2 linked regions of the Diceros bicornis minor genome follow. The protein of the gene in region 2 purifies or fractionates together with the protein of the main gene of each other region. This does not show direct contact. Links are inferred from orthologs where the notes say so. Each region holds a gene or a part of one and is shown on either strand. Other genes may lie near its edges.

Region 1 (7,360 bases), on a different chromosome or scaffold from region 2:
GGCCTTAAAATCTAATTTGAATTAAGAGTACACTCGGCAAAGCAAAATATAACCTAAGAAATAATTCTGTTATTAATGCTTGGATGAGGCGTGGAAAAACCTGGACACAAAGTCTCAACTCCAGTGTACTGAGTAACCGTAAGCAATATATGACTTCTAATTCCAGTTCTCTCAATCTGCCCAAGGATGATTAGAACAAGGATAACTAGTTCATGGGAAGTAGTAATCCATTATATAAATGCAAAATAGACTGATGGTGCCTTGCATTGTATCTTTTTAAGCCATCGTTCCTGTTTTCCAGGCTGCTCTTGTCCTTATGCCTTGGATTGAGGTTTATCCTTCAAGAAGCTTTCTCTGAACACCTTTGAGTAGTGTCAAGATAGGAAAGGGGATTTTCCCTGTATCACCTGTCTCCTCCCTTCTTCCCCATGCTGCATAGCACTTATCACACTGTGCTTTGTCTACAAGCTCCCTATTGCAGGTACCCTCTCTGATTCATTTTAGCAGTCCAGTAGTGTGTCCCCTTACCCCTCTCCAGATAGTAGAAGAAGGCATTAGACACAGTACATTGATGACAATTTATTATAATCTGTTGGCAGCACACAGTTAGATATTAATTAAACCAGAACTATGTTTGGTTTAGAAGTGGGCAATGATATGTAGCCATTCCATGGGGAACTGTGTGCACTTAATCATCATCATGATCTTTTAGTGTCTTGATCCTCTGCTTGTGCCGCTCAATTTCTTTCTGCAGATGCTCAATCTCCTTTACATGATGAGAGATCTCATCTTCATGGTGTTTCTTCAAGGCTGCCAGTTGTTCTTTAGTCCGCTTTCTACAAGGACACAGTCATTCTGGGTTTAATCCCAATCCTTCACCCCAAAGAGATCTCTATGCATAACCCATAATACCTAAGGCAAAGGACACAGGAGTCCCAATCCCATGCGAGTCTGGCTGGTCATCCTCTTCTACCTCCTTAAGCCCCACTACTGAAAGAATACACCATCTTAAGATGTATCCATCTTTAGATGACCCAAATGATTTCATTTTCCTGGTTCTAGTACCTGAAATTCCATCATTAATGAGCTAGAGTAGAAAACTCCAGAGAGGTGTGACAAATTTCCAATACCTTATTAGAGGAACAACCCAGAGAAGAGAATCCCTTTTTGTGGAAAAAAAGAGCAAAAGGAAGGAGGTCGACAAACGGGTATAGTTAAAGACAAATAGTCACATCCTCTCCCAATTTATCTAGGGCTTTCTTTGCCTAGAGAAATGCATGGCTCACTGTAAAGGCCAAAATGAAGGAAAAAAAAGAAGGGGTCTCTGCATGGTCAGTACTTGGCAGTCCAATTTAAGTCTCAAGAGGGGACGATTCAAACATTGGTTTGGCCACATTTGGGCCTCAGTTTTCCTTAACTGTATAATGTAGGGCCCAATTAGATGGTCTCTAAGGGCTGTACCTTGGCTCTCTGGTATGGCAGGTGCCATGGTGATGATTCTTAAGAGTGAGCAAGAGAGGGCAGAAGTGAACAGATAGGGCAAAGGAGAAGCAGAAGCGAGATTAGTCCCGTGCTGCTCCCCACCGTGAACAGAAGTCAGTAAAAGATAACTCAGGGCTGAAAAAGAGGGTAGACAGGCCCAGATTCTAAAGGAGAGAGAGAAATCTATATAGCCCAGCGGCTGGGCTGGGCGGGGCAGGGCAAAAGTCTCCAGGAAGTGTGTGTATGTGTGGATTCCAACCGTGAGCAGCTGCCACCAACCAGCTCATATGACCCACTCACTCTGGCGGAGACACGTGGGGGTCTAGAAACAGGTGAGAGGGTCTGAAGAGTCAGGGAATCCATCCCTGCGGGGCTTGCAAAACTAAGGCGTGTAGAGGAGAAAAGAGTGCGTAGAGGGGTGAAAGGTGGGTGAGGGCCGAGGGAGTCAGGCTCAGAGGGTCTGCAAGTATTGGACGGTCGGATCCGGGCACTCTGCGAAGTATCTGAGGGGCGTTTCGCACGACCTGGGGAGCATTCCACGGGTGGGGATGGTAAATGATTCAGGAAGAGTGGAGCCGTGGTTTGCGAGTTCTGGACACCCGCAGGTGGAAATGGCTGGCGTTTGGGGGCCTTGGGACATTTGGCAGGGCTGGGAGCGCCCTATAGGTGGCAACAGTCAGGACCTCAAGTGTTGGGCGTAATGGGTTCGGGGGCCCGGGAGTTCTGTTGGGGGATAGGGCACCCCAGGGCACCAGGGAGGGATGGGTGGGGCGACTGGAAGGCCCTGAGAGATCTAGGGCTGGACTCGGGACCCCGTGGGCCTCACCGGAAGTATCGTTCCTCTTCAGCCTGCTCTCTCTTTCCGAAGGCCCCTCCGCCCTCCCGGATCGAGCCCGCGGGGGCGTCGTGATCCTTTGACTGCGGAGAAAGACCGGGACATTGGTAAAGCGCGGAGGGGGAGATGGGATCCGCGCTCAGGGCTGGGGCAGCGGACACTGCCGCCGGCGTACCCGTTCGGAGCTGAAGCCTCGGGCTTGCATGGCCCTCGCGCCCCACACGCCGAGCCGCATCTGCGCCGCCAGAGCCGTGACTGCCATTGCTGTCAGTGCCGCAGCTCTCGGGTCACTGGAGGCGCAGCCTCTCTATAGGCGCTAACAGCGCTGATGGCCGGGCAGCCAATCGTTTCGGTGGAGAGGCGGGATGAACCTAGGAGTAGCGAATCATGAGAGGGAGGAGGCGGGGTTCCTGTAGTTCTCAGCGAATCGTGAGCGAGAGGCGGGCCTATTCTTAGCCAATTCCTAGCAAGGGCTCAAAGCCTAAAGGACTGGAGAATAATGGAGGAGATTGGAGAGGAAGGGGAGGAGAAGGTCAGAAGCCGGCATTTCGGCTCTTGGATTCCTCAGAGTGAGGCGTGGCATCCACTGCCACCCCACGATTCCAATCCTAAAATTGTTATTATTAAACAACCCAAAGGAAGTCTTCCTTTTCCTGGACTACTAGCGTCAATAAGATGGGTAATGGGCGTGGCGGGGATAAGTCCCGGATGCCCCGACTTCGGGTTGTTGGGAAAAAAATTTTTTATGTGTATGTATATGGTCTCTTAAGAGGTGTCAATGTTCTTTCGTTGCATTGACATTTCACTCTCAAGTCTCAGCTTAAGTGTCACCTTCTCAGAGAAACCTTCCCTGACCTCCTTAGTCATTCTATCATAGTTCCCTGTTTTGTTCTGTTTCTCTCTTTTTGCACTTTTCACCTTCTGAAGTTATCAGGGCCTTGATCAAATAGGCACTGAATTAATATTTGTGAAATGCATTAATACGTTAACTGTAATTTTGGCAATCTGGTGCAATGAAGTAGAAAAGAGCATAAGTAGAAGTCTAGGGAAGGCTTTGCCTTGATGTTCCTTCAGCCCTCTAACAAATGTGAACAAGACAGTAGTTTATAGCCTTTGCCTACCTCATTTTCTCTCTCTGGACCCAGTTTTTTTCTCTTTTAGATGAGAGGATTGGGCCAGATTATCTATCTTATTCATGATTATAAAAATACTTTCTTTGCCTTCTATGAAACTGTAGAACTGTTTTTGTTGATCATCTTTTGGTTGGAAAAAATACCAGTCCTAGTTTGTATGACTTAAATGGGAGGAAATGGCTGCAGGGCACATTTTCAAATGTTCACTGCAGAAAACTTGGAAAAACACAAAAGCAGAAGAATAGAAATAATCATCACTTACAAGCCCACTACCTAGTGATAATGATTTGGTGTGTTTCTAGAGAGAGAGAGATATATTTTAGGAAGATTGGCCCTGAGCTAACATCTGTTGCCAATCTTCCTCTTTTTTCTCCCCAAAGCCCCAGTACATAGTTGTATATCCTAGTTGTAGGTCCTTCTAGTTCTTCTATGTGGGACGCTGCCTCAGCATGGCTTGCTGAATGGTGCATAGATCCACGCCCAGGATCTGAACTGGCGAACCCCGGGCTGTGCAAGCAGAACACGTGAACTTAACTGCTGCGCCACCAGGCTGGCCCCTCCAGATGATATTTAAGTGCCATTCCTGTTTCAGAAACTCTGTTTCTAGTTCTCAGATACAGCTGTTTCTTAATTATCTCCTAGGCTAGGCATCAAGTAGAGGGTCTTTCTGTTTGTGCAAAAGATCCATTTAGGCACTAGGATGGCTACAATTTTAAAAAATGGAAAATAAGTGTTGGTGAGGATGTGGAGCAATTGCAACCCTCACACGTTGCTTGTAGGAATGTAAAATGGTTCAGCTGCTGTGGAAAACATCTTGGCAGTTGCTCAAAAAGTTAAATATGGAATTACCATGTGACTCAGCAATTTTCCTTCTAGGTATATATCCCCCAAAATTGAAAACTGGTATTCAAACAAATGCATGTACATGCATGTTCACAGCAACATTATTTCATAATAGCCAAAAGATGGAAACAACCCAAATGTCCATCAACTGATGAATGAATAAATGAACTGTGGTATATACATACAGTGGAATATTATTCAGCCATAAAAAGTAATGAAGTAATGATACATGCTATACCTTGGACAAACCTTGAAGATTATGCTAAGTAAAAGAAGCCAGATACAAAAGGTCATATATTGTATGACTGCATTTATATGAAATGTCCAGAATAGGTAAATCCAGAGACAGAACACAGATTGGTGGTTGTCAGGGGCTAGGAAGAAGGGGGAATGGGAAGGGACTGCTTAATAGGTGCCAGGTATCCTTCCCAGGTGATGAAATTGTTTTGGATCTAGATAGAGGTGGTGATTGCATAACACTGTGACTATACTAAAGGCCACTAAATTGTTCACTTTAAAGTGGTTAATTGTGTGTTATGTGTATTTCACCTCAATTAAAAAAAACAATTTACGAACGTAGATTAAAAGTGCCCCCTTAGGCTTCCAGCCCTTTAAGGGTCGCAAAGAAGAGGGCGGGGCTAGAGAGGGCCTGTAAGAATCACGTGAGGCAGCGCCTGCGCAGAAGAGTCACGTGGTGGCTGGGCCGGGGAAATGGCGGCTCCAGGAGAGAGTGGGGCTTCGGCCGGCGGAGGCAGCACAGAAGAAGCATTTATGACCTTCTACAGTGAGGTGAACGCCGAGTGAGGAAGAGTGGCACCCGGGCGACCCCGCTCGGGCCTGCTCTGCCAGCGGGTGAAGGCAGTGGTCCTCCTGGCTTGGACCGTTGGGCGGCTCCTCCTGTTCGGCCTTCGGGGCGGCGGGGGGCTGGGGGCGTGTGTACATCTCTCCCTGCTAGCTGCTGGGGGATCCCCTGGGCAACGGAAAAGGTCGGGGGAGGGGGGTCCGACGTCTGCGAGGAGACGGCGAGTGTAGCCAACGAAGTGCCTGGGCGCGCGCAGAGTTCCCCAAGTCCGCGGAGTCCGGGGCTGGCAGGGGCTGGGCCTTCCTGGGGGCGACTTAACCGTCTTGGCCCCCATTTTATTCTAAACAGCAGCGCTTTCTACACTTAGTTCTCTGTAATGAGTTGTATTAGTGGTTATTTCTGCCATTCGCGAACGCCAGGCACTGTGCATCATGCCAGGTAGGCATTATCTCCATTTTACAGATGACAAACCTGAGGTTTAGGGAGGTGAAATAATTTGTTCCAGGTCTTAGAGCAGATAGCTTGGTATCATGTTAGGACAGGAGTAGGGTTGGTCTGAGCCTCTTTTATATCGCATCTCCAGCGCCTAGTACATAGTGGTCGCTCAGTAAATGTATGTTGAGTAAATGAATGCATGAATAAGTGAAGAGCATGCCGTTTGGAGTCAGAGGACCTCTGATTGGATTTATGCAAGGCAGTTAATTTGTCTGCAATCGAACTCTTTCAAGGCATTGATTTTGCAGCTCCTCAGTTTCCACGTCTGTAAAACGAGAGTTAATATTAAAACAAGAGTTTTTTTTTTTTATAATTTTATTTATTTATTTTTCCCCCAAAGCCCCAGTAGATAGTTGTATGTCATAGCTGCACATCCTTCTAGTTGCTGCACGTGGGACGTGGCCTCAGCATGGCCAGAGAAGTGGTATGTCGGTGTGCGCCCGGGATTGGAACCCGGACCGCCAGCAGCAGAGCGCGAGCGCTTAACCGCTAAGCCACCAGGCCGGCCCAAAACAAGAGTTTTTATGAAGGTTAAAGCAATTAATGTGTATGGAAGGGTTTCATAAAATATAATAAAACAGGAGCATCTTTCTAAGAGTTAAAGCAAGGCTGAAGACGAACCTCGTAATGTTGGCGTGGATTTGAGGAGTGGAGTTGCTCCCCACCAGGCTGTGGACTGCTCAGAGTTAAGCAGCATGTCACATTCATCTTTTATGTCTGGTATTTGTAACAGTGCTTGTTACATAGTAGTTTCTCCAAAGTATTAACTTTAAAAACAGAAAGTAGCACATTCGTTATAGCCTGTCCTTTTGAAATGCCTGATTCCTTTGAAAATGTTGGTGCGCTGGTACCATAATTTATTGGCCTCTAATGACTACTTACTAATTATAGTGAAACTTGTTTCACTTACTCTCTCTTAGTTAAAAAAAAAAAAAAAGCAATCCTGGTTTGTTTGAATTGGACGGGGGAAAGAACCTAAAGGAGGACCCTTCAGTCATCATTCAACCAGTGTTTATTGAGCGCCTGACATGTACTAGGCTACTGCTTAGGTGCTGGAGATTCGGTAGTGAAGGACAGAGAGAAAAATCCTGTTTTCGTGGAGCTTGTGTTCTATGGAGAAGGATAATCGGTAAACAGATGTACAATATAGTGTCAGGTAGTGATAGGTGCTTTGAGGAAAAATAAGCCTGGGAAAGAAGGTAGAGAGTAGGAGGGAGTGGCATGCTATTTTAAAATGAGTGAAGAGGGAAGATATTGAGAGACAGTGTCTTTTTATGTTACTGAAATTCTTTCTAATCTTGTTTTGGCCATAGAAATAAAAATGTTATATAACACACCAGAGATTCATTCCAGTTAGCATTCTTATTCTGGCAGTGGCACCAAGGATGTTTTCCCAGGACTGCCTGGTGCCTGTTCTTAGCACTGTCTTCAAGTCAGGGATTTTTCTAATAACTCCATTAGAGTTAGGTAGGCAGAGTTATTTGCTCCCTCTCATATACATTTTTTTTTTTTTTTTTTTGGTGAGGAGATCAGCCCTGTGCTAACATCTGCCAATCCTCCTCTTTTTTTTTTTTTTTTTTGCTGAGGAAGACCAGCCCTGGGCTAACATCCGTGCCCATCTTCCTCCACTTTATATGGGATGCCGCCACAGCATGGCTTGCCAGGCAGTGTGTCGGTGTGAACCCGGGATCCGAACCAGCGAATCCCCAGCCACCGCAGCAGAGTGCGTGCACTTAACCCCTTGCGCCACCGGGCCGGCCCCTCATATAC
Region 2 (7,395 bases):
GCTACTTCCTTGCTTTCAACTCTCCAAGGGCTCCCCATGAAAACCATCACAACAGCATGTAAGGTCCTACAGGATCTGGCCCCTGTTTACCCCTCCAACCAGTTTCTGCCATCCTCCTAGCCTCTACTCCTTGCTCACTGGCCTCCAGCCACTGGAGTCTTGGTTCTTCCTGGTACATGCCAGATAAGTTCCTGTCTCAGGTCTTTGTATTCCCAGTTGCCTCTGGCTGGAATGCTCTTTCCTCCAGTATTCACACTGCTAGCTTCCTCCCTTCATTTGGATGTCATTCATTCAAATGTCACTTGTCTTCTCTGAAATTCTTTGTAAATACACTGCCTCCTGGCATTCTCTATCCTCTCATCTTCCTTTATTTTCCTTCCTGGCACTTATTACCTGACATTGTTATATATTTATTTGTTGATTAACTTGAATGTTCATCTCCCCCACTAATACATAAGCTCCTAGTCTGTCTTAGTCACCACTGCATCTGCAGAGCCAAGACAGTGCTCAGCACCTACAAGACACATGGAAGTAAATATTTCTTGAAAGCAACAATTAAACAAACTCTGATCTGACCACCTAGCTCATGCTCTTTCCATTACATCATGCTGCTTCCCAGGAAAAAGATAAACGTGTGCACAGTTTGTCATTTCCCCTCTAGCAGATTAAAAAGGTCTATGTCTGGGCCGTCCCGTGGCTTAGCGGTTAAGTGCGCGCGCTCCGCTACTGGCGGCCCGTGTTCGGATCCCGGGCGCGCACCGACGCACGGCTTCTCCGGCCATGCTGAGGCCGCGCCCCACATACAGCAACTAGAAGGGTGTGCAACTATGACATACAACTATCTACTGGGGCTTTGGGGGAAAAAAAGGAGGATTGGCAATAGATGTTAGCTCAGGGCTGGTCTTCCTCAGCAAAAAGAGGAGGATTAGCACAGATGTTAGCTCAGGGCTGGTCTTCCTCACACACAAAAAAAAAGGTCCATGTCTTATATACTTCTTTAAGCCCTACCAGGCCCACCATGTAGTAAATGCTAGGTAAATATGATGAAATGAAAGAGTGAAGAGCAACCACAAAAAAAGTTAAATAAGCAAGAGAGTTGATGGCATGGAGAAACTCTAATTTGTATTCTATGCCACCAATGACCATTCAGTGGTCAATTCTTTGTTTATTTCCAATGTGCCTATCCACCCAAGTCAGAGGAGTTTTGAAGGAAATAAAAATTAACCAAATGCAAGTCCTTGCTTCAAGGAGCTAACATACATGCAACTATCAAAATACAAATTTTAATATACACCTATGAAAGAGGTATAATTAAAGAGCTACAGGATTCCAAGGTGAGGGAAATTACTTCTGGTTGTGGGATTAACAGAAGAATGTGTGAAAGAGCTGGCAGTTGAAATGGTTAAACTGAATATTGATAGATGGGTAACAGTTGGATGGTAGCCTATCAACTCCTGAAAGACAAGAACTATATTTCATTCATCTTGGTGTCCTTAATGCCTCACAAAATGTCTGGACCATAACGACATTCAATAAATGTTTAACAAGCTTGGGAGGAGCAAGGCATTCCAGGCAGAAGGAAGCGTGTCGGTAAAATACAGACATGAGAGAATGCAGCATATGCATGAGCAAAATAAAGAGTGAGGACTGGCTAGTGAAAAGGGTTCATGAAAATGAATGGCAAGAACTAAGGTAGGAAACATAGCTTAGAGCCAAAACATGGCTTGCCATGAATGACAGACTAAGGGGTTTAAGACTTTATTATGCAGGCAAGGAGAGACCACTGAAAACTTTTACAAAGGAGAAGGTGACCTGAAGAAGACTGTAGTAGGAGCCCTCTGCTCGGAAAAATAAATCTATCACCACTTCACTCTTACTGTTTCAAATTCTACCATTGGAAATTTTTTTCTGTTAACACATAACCTCTCTAGGAATCTTCTTTATATTCAAATTCTCCTGAAAGATAATAGAAAAGCTGTTGTCATTCATTTATACTTTAGTATAAATTGGATAATCTATTTATCTTCTCCTGGCTAGACTAAGTACACAGAGCTATTGGGGAAATGGGAATTTTGACCGCAGATGGAAATATAACTTTTTGACTCTGAGACACTACCTTAGAAAGACAGAGTCTAGGGTGCATGGAAAAAAAGTTAATTAATTAATACCTTTGCTTAAGAGCCAACTCTGTTCTTTCCAAAAGCAGAACTGAGTAAAGATAAATACATAAAAGATATTATAATCTCCCATAGTGGGAACTACTAAACTGATGACCCAGAAAGTAAGAATTAGGAGAAATATGATAAACTGAAGAATTTTGAGGGGGGGGAAGGTTCTGTGGAATTTAGACACTACATCTGAGTTCTTTGAGTTTTCCTCAAAAGTGGCCAGTAAAGACTTTACCTAAATCACATTCAATCACAACTTCATGAACTGTGATAGACGATTAATATTCAAGGAATGTAATGGTGCAAGAAGAAATTTAAAAAGAAAACGTTAAAAATCCACACAAATGGTGTATGTACCAAAAATGAGAATCGCGAGGACAATAAACATGTGATAACCCTGGGAATTCCATCCAGACTTCATGGAAACCGGGTATCTCATTTGGATGGTTTTCTGCTTTCTAAAACTCAAATCCTCAACCCAGGCCACAGAGGGCTCGTTCTGCGGGCTGGCTGGGCGCTGGGTCCACCCGGGAACCCAGGCTCCCGCGGAAGAGAAGGTGGGACGGGACTCACCGCTTGTCGATGGCGTCGATGTTTGAATGGAGGAGCCACAGCTCCTCCGTGTTGTCCTGCCGGGAGGACAGGATCAGGTGGTGGCCAGTCAGACACAAGGTCCCCTCGACGGCGGGATAGAAAGGCCGGTGCAGCACCACATTGTCCACCCGTGGGGTCCTAATCAGCTCCGCAAACTCCATGTTCCCCAGCAGCCGGAGCCGGGGCACTGCCGGGTGGCGTGCGTGCTAGGCGGTTACACCGCCGCGGGGCTGAGGCGGAGAAGGACCCGGCGCTGGGCTGGCCGGAGGGGCGGGGAGGCCGGGCCCCGCCCCAGGCCGGAGTGGGCGCGGCGAGGCCTGTGGCCACGGTCACTGGCCGCGGGAAGCCCGCGCTGGGGCTGGGCCAGGCCGGGGCGTTTCCCCCGCAGCTCCCGCTCCCTCTAGGCCCGGGGCTCGGCCAGAGAGAACGCTCCGCCACAGGCCCAGCCGCAGCCGCCGTCTCCTGGGGACCCGGCCTCCGGCGGACAGGCCGAGGGGAGACGGAGGAGGCCGCTTTAGGGCCAGTTTCCAAGTCCGAGCCGCTAGGGACTCCTGACGGAAGGAGCTGCTCGCAGCCGGAGCCTAGAGCAACTCCGGGCGGAAGCGGCGGAGCTCGAAACCTGGAGGACGGGGAAGTCAGAGCCGGAAGTCGGTCCCCGCCTAGGTCCCATAAGAATGCTTCCGGAAACAGCGAGAATCGAAGATTTGTGTTCCTACCAGGAAAAAGTTCTTTCTGGCCTTCACGCCCACCGCTGCACCTCCACCCCCTCCAAATACTGTTCGTAAAAGGCCGGGGACGATGGGGTGACGAGAAGAGGTCGCTGACCTGCCTCCCTCCACTCGAGTAGTCATCCCTCCAAGGGCTCTCTTGAGGGTGGGGCTGCCGTAAATTGCAGCGATTTTCACCCATTCGCCGTGAAGAGATGGCAAGGGTGGGACCGAATCGGTGACTGACTCCAGAGAAGCCGCCAGGGGTAAGGGCGGGTCACGGGGCGGGCGCCGCGGACTCCCAGAGAGCGCCGCGCCGGGGTGCTGTGACCTTGACCCAGACGGAGGGGAACAGACACCCGTGAGAGGCACCTAGGTAGACGTACGTACAGTGCACAGAAGGGGAAGTGACTAATCCTGTCCTGGGAGGAAGCTCAAGCGACTTGCTAAAGCGCAGTTAGTCTGTAGCAAAGGCCGGACTTCCATCTAGATCTATGAAATCCAAGGCGTTGGGGCATTGGTCACCACCGCACAGCCTCCCCATGAAATACAACCCGACTGAACTACTCCCAGACACCTAGATTATGCCAGAAGTTTACTCAAATTAGTTTTCCTTGCTTGGTGCCGTTCTCCCCTTAAACTGTCATTTTCATTCTAAGATAGGGAATTAGGGGGGAAATATATAAGGGTTTGAGTCCCAGTCTGCTGTCACTTCATTAACCTTTGAAATCCTCACCATCTAGTACCTAAGAACAGCGAGTTGGCAAAAGTCTCACAGCAAAGACAAAATAAATTGCCTCAAATCTCATCATCACCCAACACATGTCCTTGCTTTTGTCCTTGCCCTTCCTAAAATGTTCTGGTCGTCTTCTCTTTTTTTGTTTTGAGGAAGATTGGCCCTGAGCCAACATCTGTTGCCAATCTTCCTCCTTGTTTTCCCTTCTTTCTCCCCAAAGCCCCGGTAGATACTTGTATGTCATAGTTGTACATGGTTCTGGTTGCTCTGTGTGGGATGCTGCCTAAGCGTGGCTTGATGAGCAGTGTGCAGGTCAGTGCCCAGGATGGGAACTGGGGGAACCCGGGGCTGATGAAGCGGGTCAGGAGGACTTAACAGCTACACCCCCATGCTGGCCCCAAATGTTCTCTTCTTAAAACAAAACGGTTTATAAGATTGTTACACCTGAGTCTCGTTTTATTTTATTTGTCTGCAAAAGAAAAACAGGAACCAACAGAGAAGCGAGAATGAGGGGAAATAACTTATAAAGCTATTTTTTTAATTGGAATTTTTGTTGTCCTTCCACTATGTGGTTCATTATAACAATTACCAGTTGTGGAAGGGAGAATTTACTTCCAGAATGAAGAATCAGGGAAAGTTTTACAGAAAAGGTATCATTTGAAAGGAGGACATTGAAGGATGAGTAGGATTTACACCCTAAGTGGGAGTGTAACCAAGATAGATGTCAAGTTTAATGATATCTACCAGAGCTAAGGAAAAATTCTTCAGAAATTTCATGACTTTTTTCTTTTAGATTTCCAGAAGAAAAAAAAAGCCTATGAAAGGACTATTGTGTCATTAAATTTAAAATGTTTAATGTTCTGTAAAGACATAAACTTTTTGCCCACGAGAGAAATTATCAATATCATGCTGGGTTGTTATAACGGAACACGGTAAACTTTCAGAAAATTACATCTACTCTAGGTTGAAGCTCAGCATAGAAAGCCATTGAGATCTCAAGAAAACGAAGATTCAATAGTCAAGAATGGAGGGAGTGGGGACCACAATATGTTAACTTACTACATGAGCAGTAGATGGCAGTAGAGTTCGAGGTAATGGGATAGGCTTCCATTCCGTTGACATGATTCAATGAAGCTTTAGTCAAAGTCATTATCCAAATTCCCTGGATGTAAAGGTCTCAGAGGATTCTGATAAACCAAAGAAGGTGATGGCATTTATAATTCATATAAAGCACTCAACACCTTACAAATATTATTATTTTTATCATCTTTTGTGAGATAATAAACAGCATTGATAGGTAATCTTCTAGAAGTTATTCTGTCAAATAGTCAGCCAGCATGTATTAAGTGCTGACTTGTTCATCAGCACTGTGGGAAATGGAAACAACAGATTTGACACAGCCCTTGCCCTCCAAAAGTAATAGCTCATTTGGGAAGGCCGACACACCCACACAACTAATGAACAAAATAAGAGAGTAAGTGCTAAATTTTGGAGTACAGATTTACTTGCCTAGTTTTGTGTTTCTCTACTAGGCCTTGAGTAGTTAGTAGAAATTGAGGCAGTTTGAAGGTAGTTTGAAGAAAGCAGGTCAAAAATTGCCAAAAGTAGAAGGAGCATCTAAAATGGAGAAGACGCTGCCTGTGTGCCATTGATGAGCAGCTATTCTCCATGTGCTTTGTAATTATACGTGGACTGTAGGCACTTGAAACGAACCTGATAACCTCATGCATGTCTTTCTTGTGTTCTCTATCCCCTTCATCCCCCAAGCAAATCAATCACCAAATTGTTGATTGTATCTTCTAATAGCTCTTGAATTCCACCGCTTCTCTCCATTCCCAAGGCCACTGCCGTAGTTCAGGCCACCATCGTTTCTCACGTTCTGTTACTTAACAGGAAAAGCCTCTCAGTTGGTTCCCTGTCTTCTAGTGGGGTTCCCTTCCAACCCATCTTTCCACTTGGCAGCTAAAGCCCTATTTGCTGTTCCAAGTTTCTGTTTTTCTTTTCTTAACTTATAAGTCCCTTTGTGATTTAGCCCCTTAGGCAGTGATCAGCATTGCAGATCTTATCTCTCCTCCTCCCTCCCTACCCAGCGCAACAGCCCACATAAACCCATTCCTTGTGATTTTCACGCCAACTGTTCTTAAATAGCTCACAGTTTCCTTTTGAGGTTTTGCACTCAGAACCTTTTTACCAAGTGGAAGAGTAGGGCAGGGACCAGCATCATCAGCATTCCTTGGGAACTTTGTTAGAAATGTTCCACTCCATAGCTACTGAATCAGAATCTGCCCTTTAACAAGATTCCTAGATGATTTTTATGCACATGAAAGTTTGAGATAGCACTGCTTTAAAGAATCTCGGTGTTCCTTCTGCCTATTATATACTCACCTCATTCCTAATACCTTGTCCCTTGACCTGCTAATTCCTATCATCCTTCAGATCTCATCTCTATGTCACTGCCTCTAGGAAGCCTTCCTTGATTTCCCTTCAAAACTATGTGCTCCACATTATATTGGCTTCAAAACCACGGAGTCCACATGATATGTATATATGTATACACACATATATATCACATTTTATGTGATATATATAATATATAAATGTGATACAGGGCCGGCCCCGTGGCTTAGCGGTTAAGTGCTTGCACTCTGCTGCTGGCCGCCCGGGTTCGGATCCCGGGCGTGCACCGACGCACCGCTTTTCCGGCCATGCTGAGGCCGCGTCCCACATGCAGCAACTAGAAGGATGTGCAGCTATGACACAAAACTATCTACTGGGGCTTTGGGGGGAAATAAAATAAATAAATAAAATCTTTAAAAAAAAATGTGATACATATAGCATATATCATATATATATATCATATTTTTGAGTGTTTACTCTGTGTTCAGATGTTGTGCTAAATGCCTTACATGTATTGACTCATGTAGCCCTTCTACAATTCTCTAATGTTGGTTATGATTCTTCTTTTACTGATGAGGAAACTGAGGCATAGAGCTCTTAATAACTTTTCCATGGTCAGACAGCAATAAGTGATGAAATCAGAATGCAGACCCAAGCAGTCGGGCGCAGACTCTGTGCTCTTCGCCACCGTGCTACATTGCCACCCATGAGACCTGAGCCCACCTTGGTTACTCTCTCTGATTTTACCTCTTAATAAACTGTATTGAAATAGACTCTTTCTGTGTCCATAACG

Evidence for each region. The genes of interacting proteins can lie anywhere in the genome.
Region 1: the proteins of MTMR9 (region 2) and ATP5IF1 purify together in Homo sapiens (affinity purification with mass spectrometry; 5 studies listed by BioGRID and IntAct, with this or other methods). This does not show direct contact. The link is inferred for Diceros bicornis minor from reciprocal best matches to the Homo sapiens genes MTMR9 and ATP5IF1.

Annotation. Positions count from the first base shown.
Region 1 is NC_080752.1:43,652,380-43,659,739, reverse strand, and holds ATP5IF1 (ATPase inhibitor, mitochondrial), read right to left. Parts: upstream 2,602-7,360; 5' UTR 2,580-2,601; coding exon 2,493-2,579; intron 2,401-2,492; coding exon 2,309-2,400; intron 837-2,308; coding exon 689-836; 3' UTR 565-688; downstream 1-564. Other genes in the region: DNAJC8 (dnaJ homolog subfamily C member 8), read left to right, coding at 5,005-5,082.
Region 2 is NC_080750.1:62,993,946-63,001,340, forward strand, and holds the start of MTMR9 (myotubularin-related protein 9), read right to left. Parts: upstream 3,010-7,395; 5' UTR 2,924-3,009; coding exon 2,742-2,923; intron 1-2,741. UniProt on the Homo sapiens protein: Acts as an adapter for myotubularin-related phosphatases. Increases lipid phosphatase MTMR6 catalytic activity, specifically towards phosphatidylinositol 3,5-bisphosphate and MTMR6 binding affinity for phosphorylated phosphatidylinositols.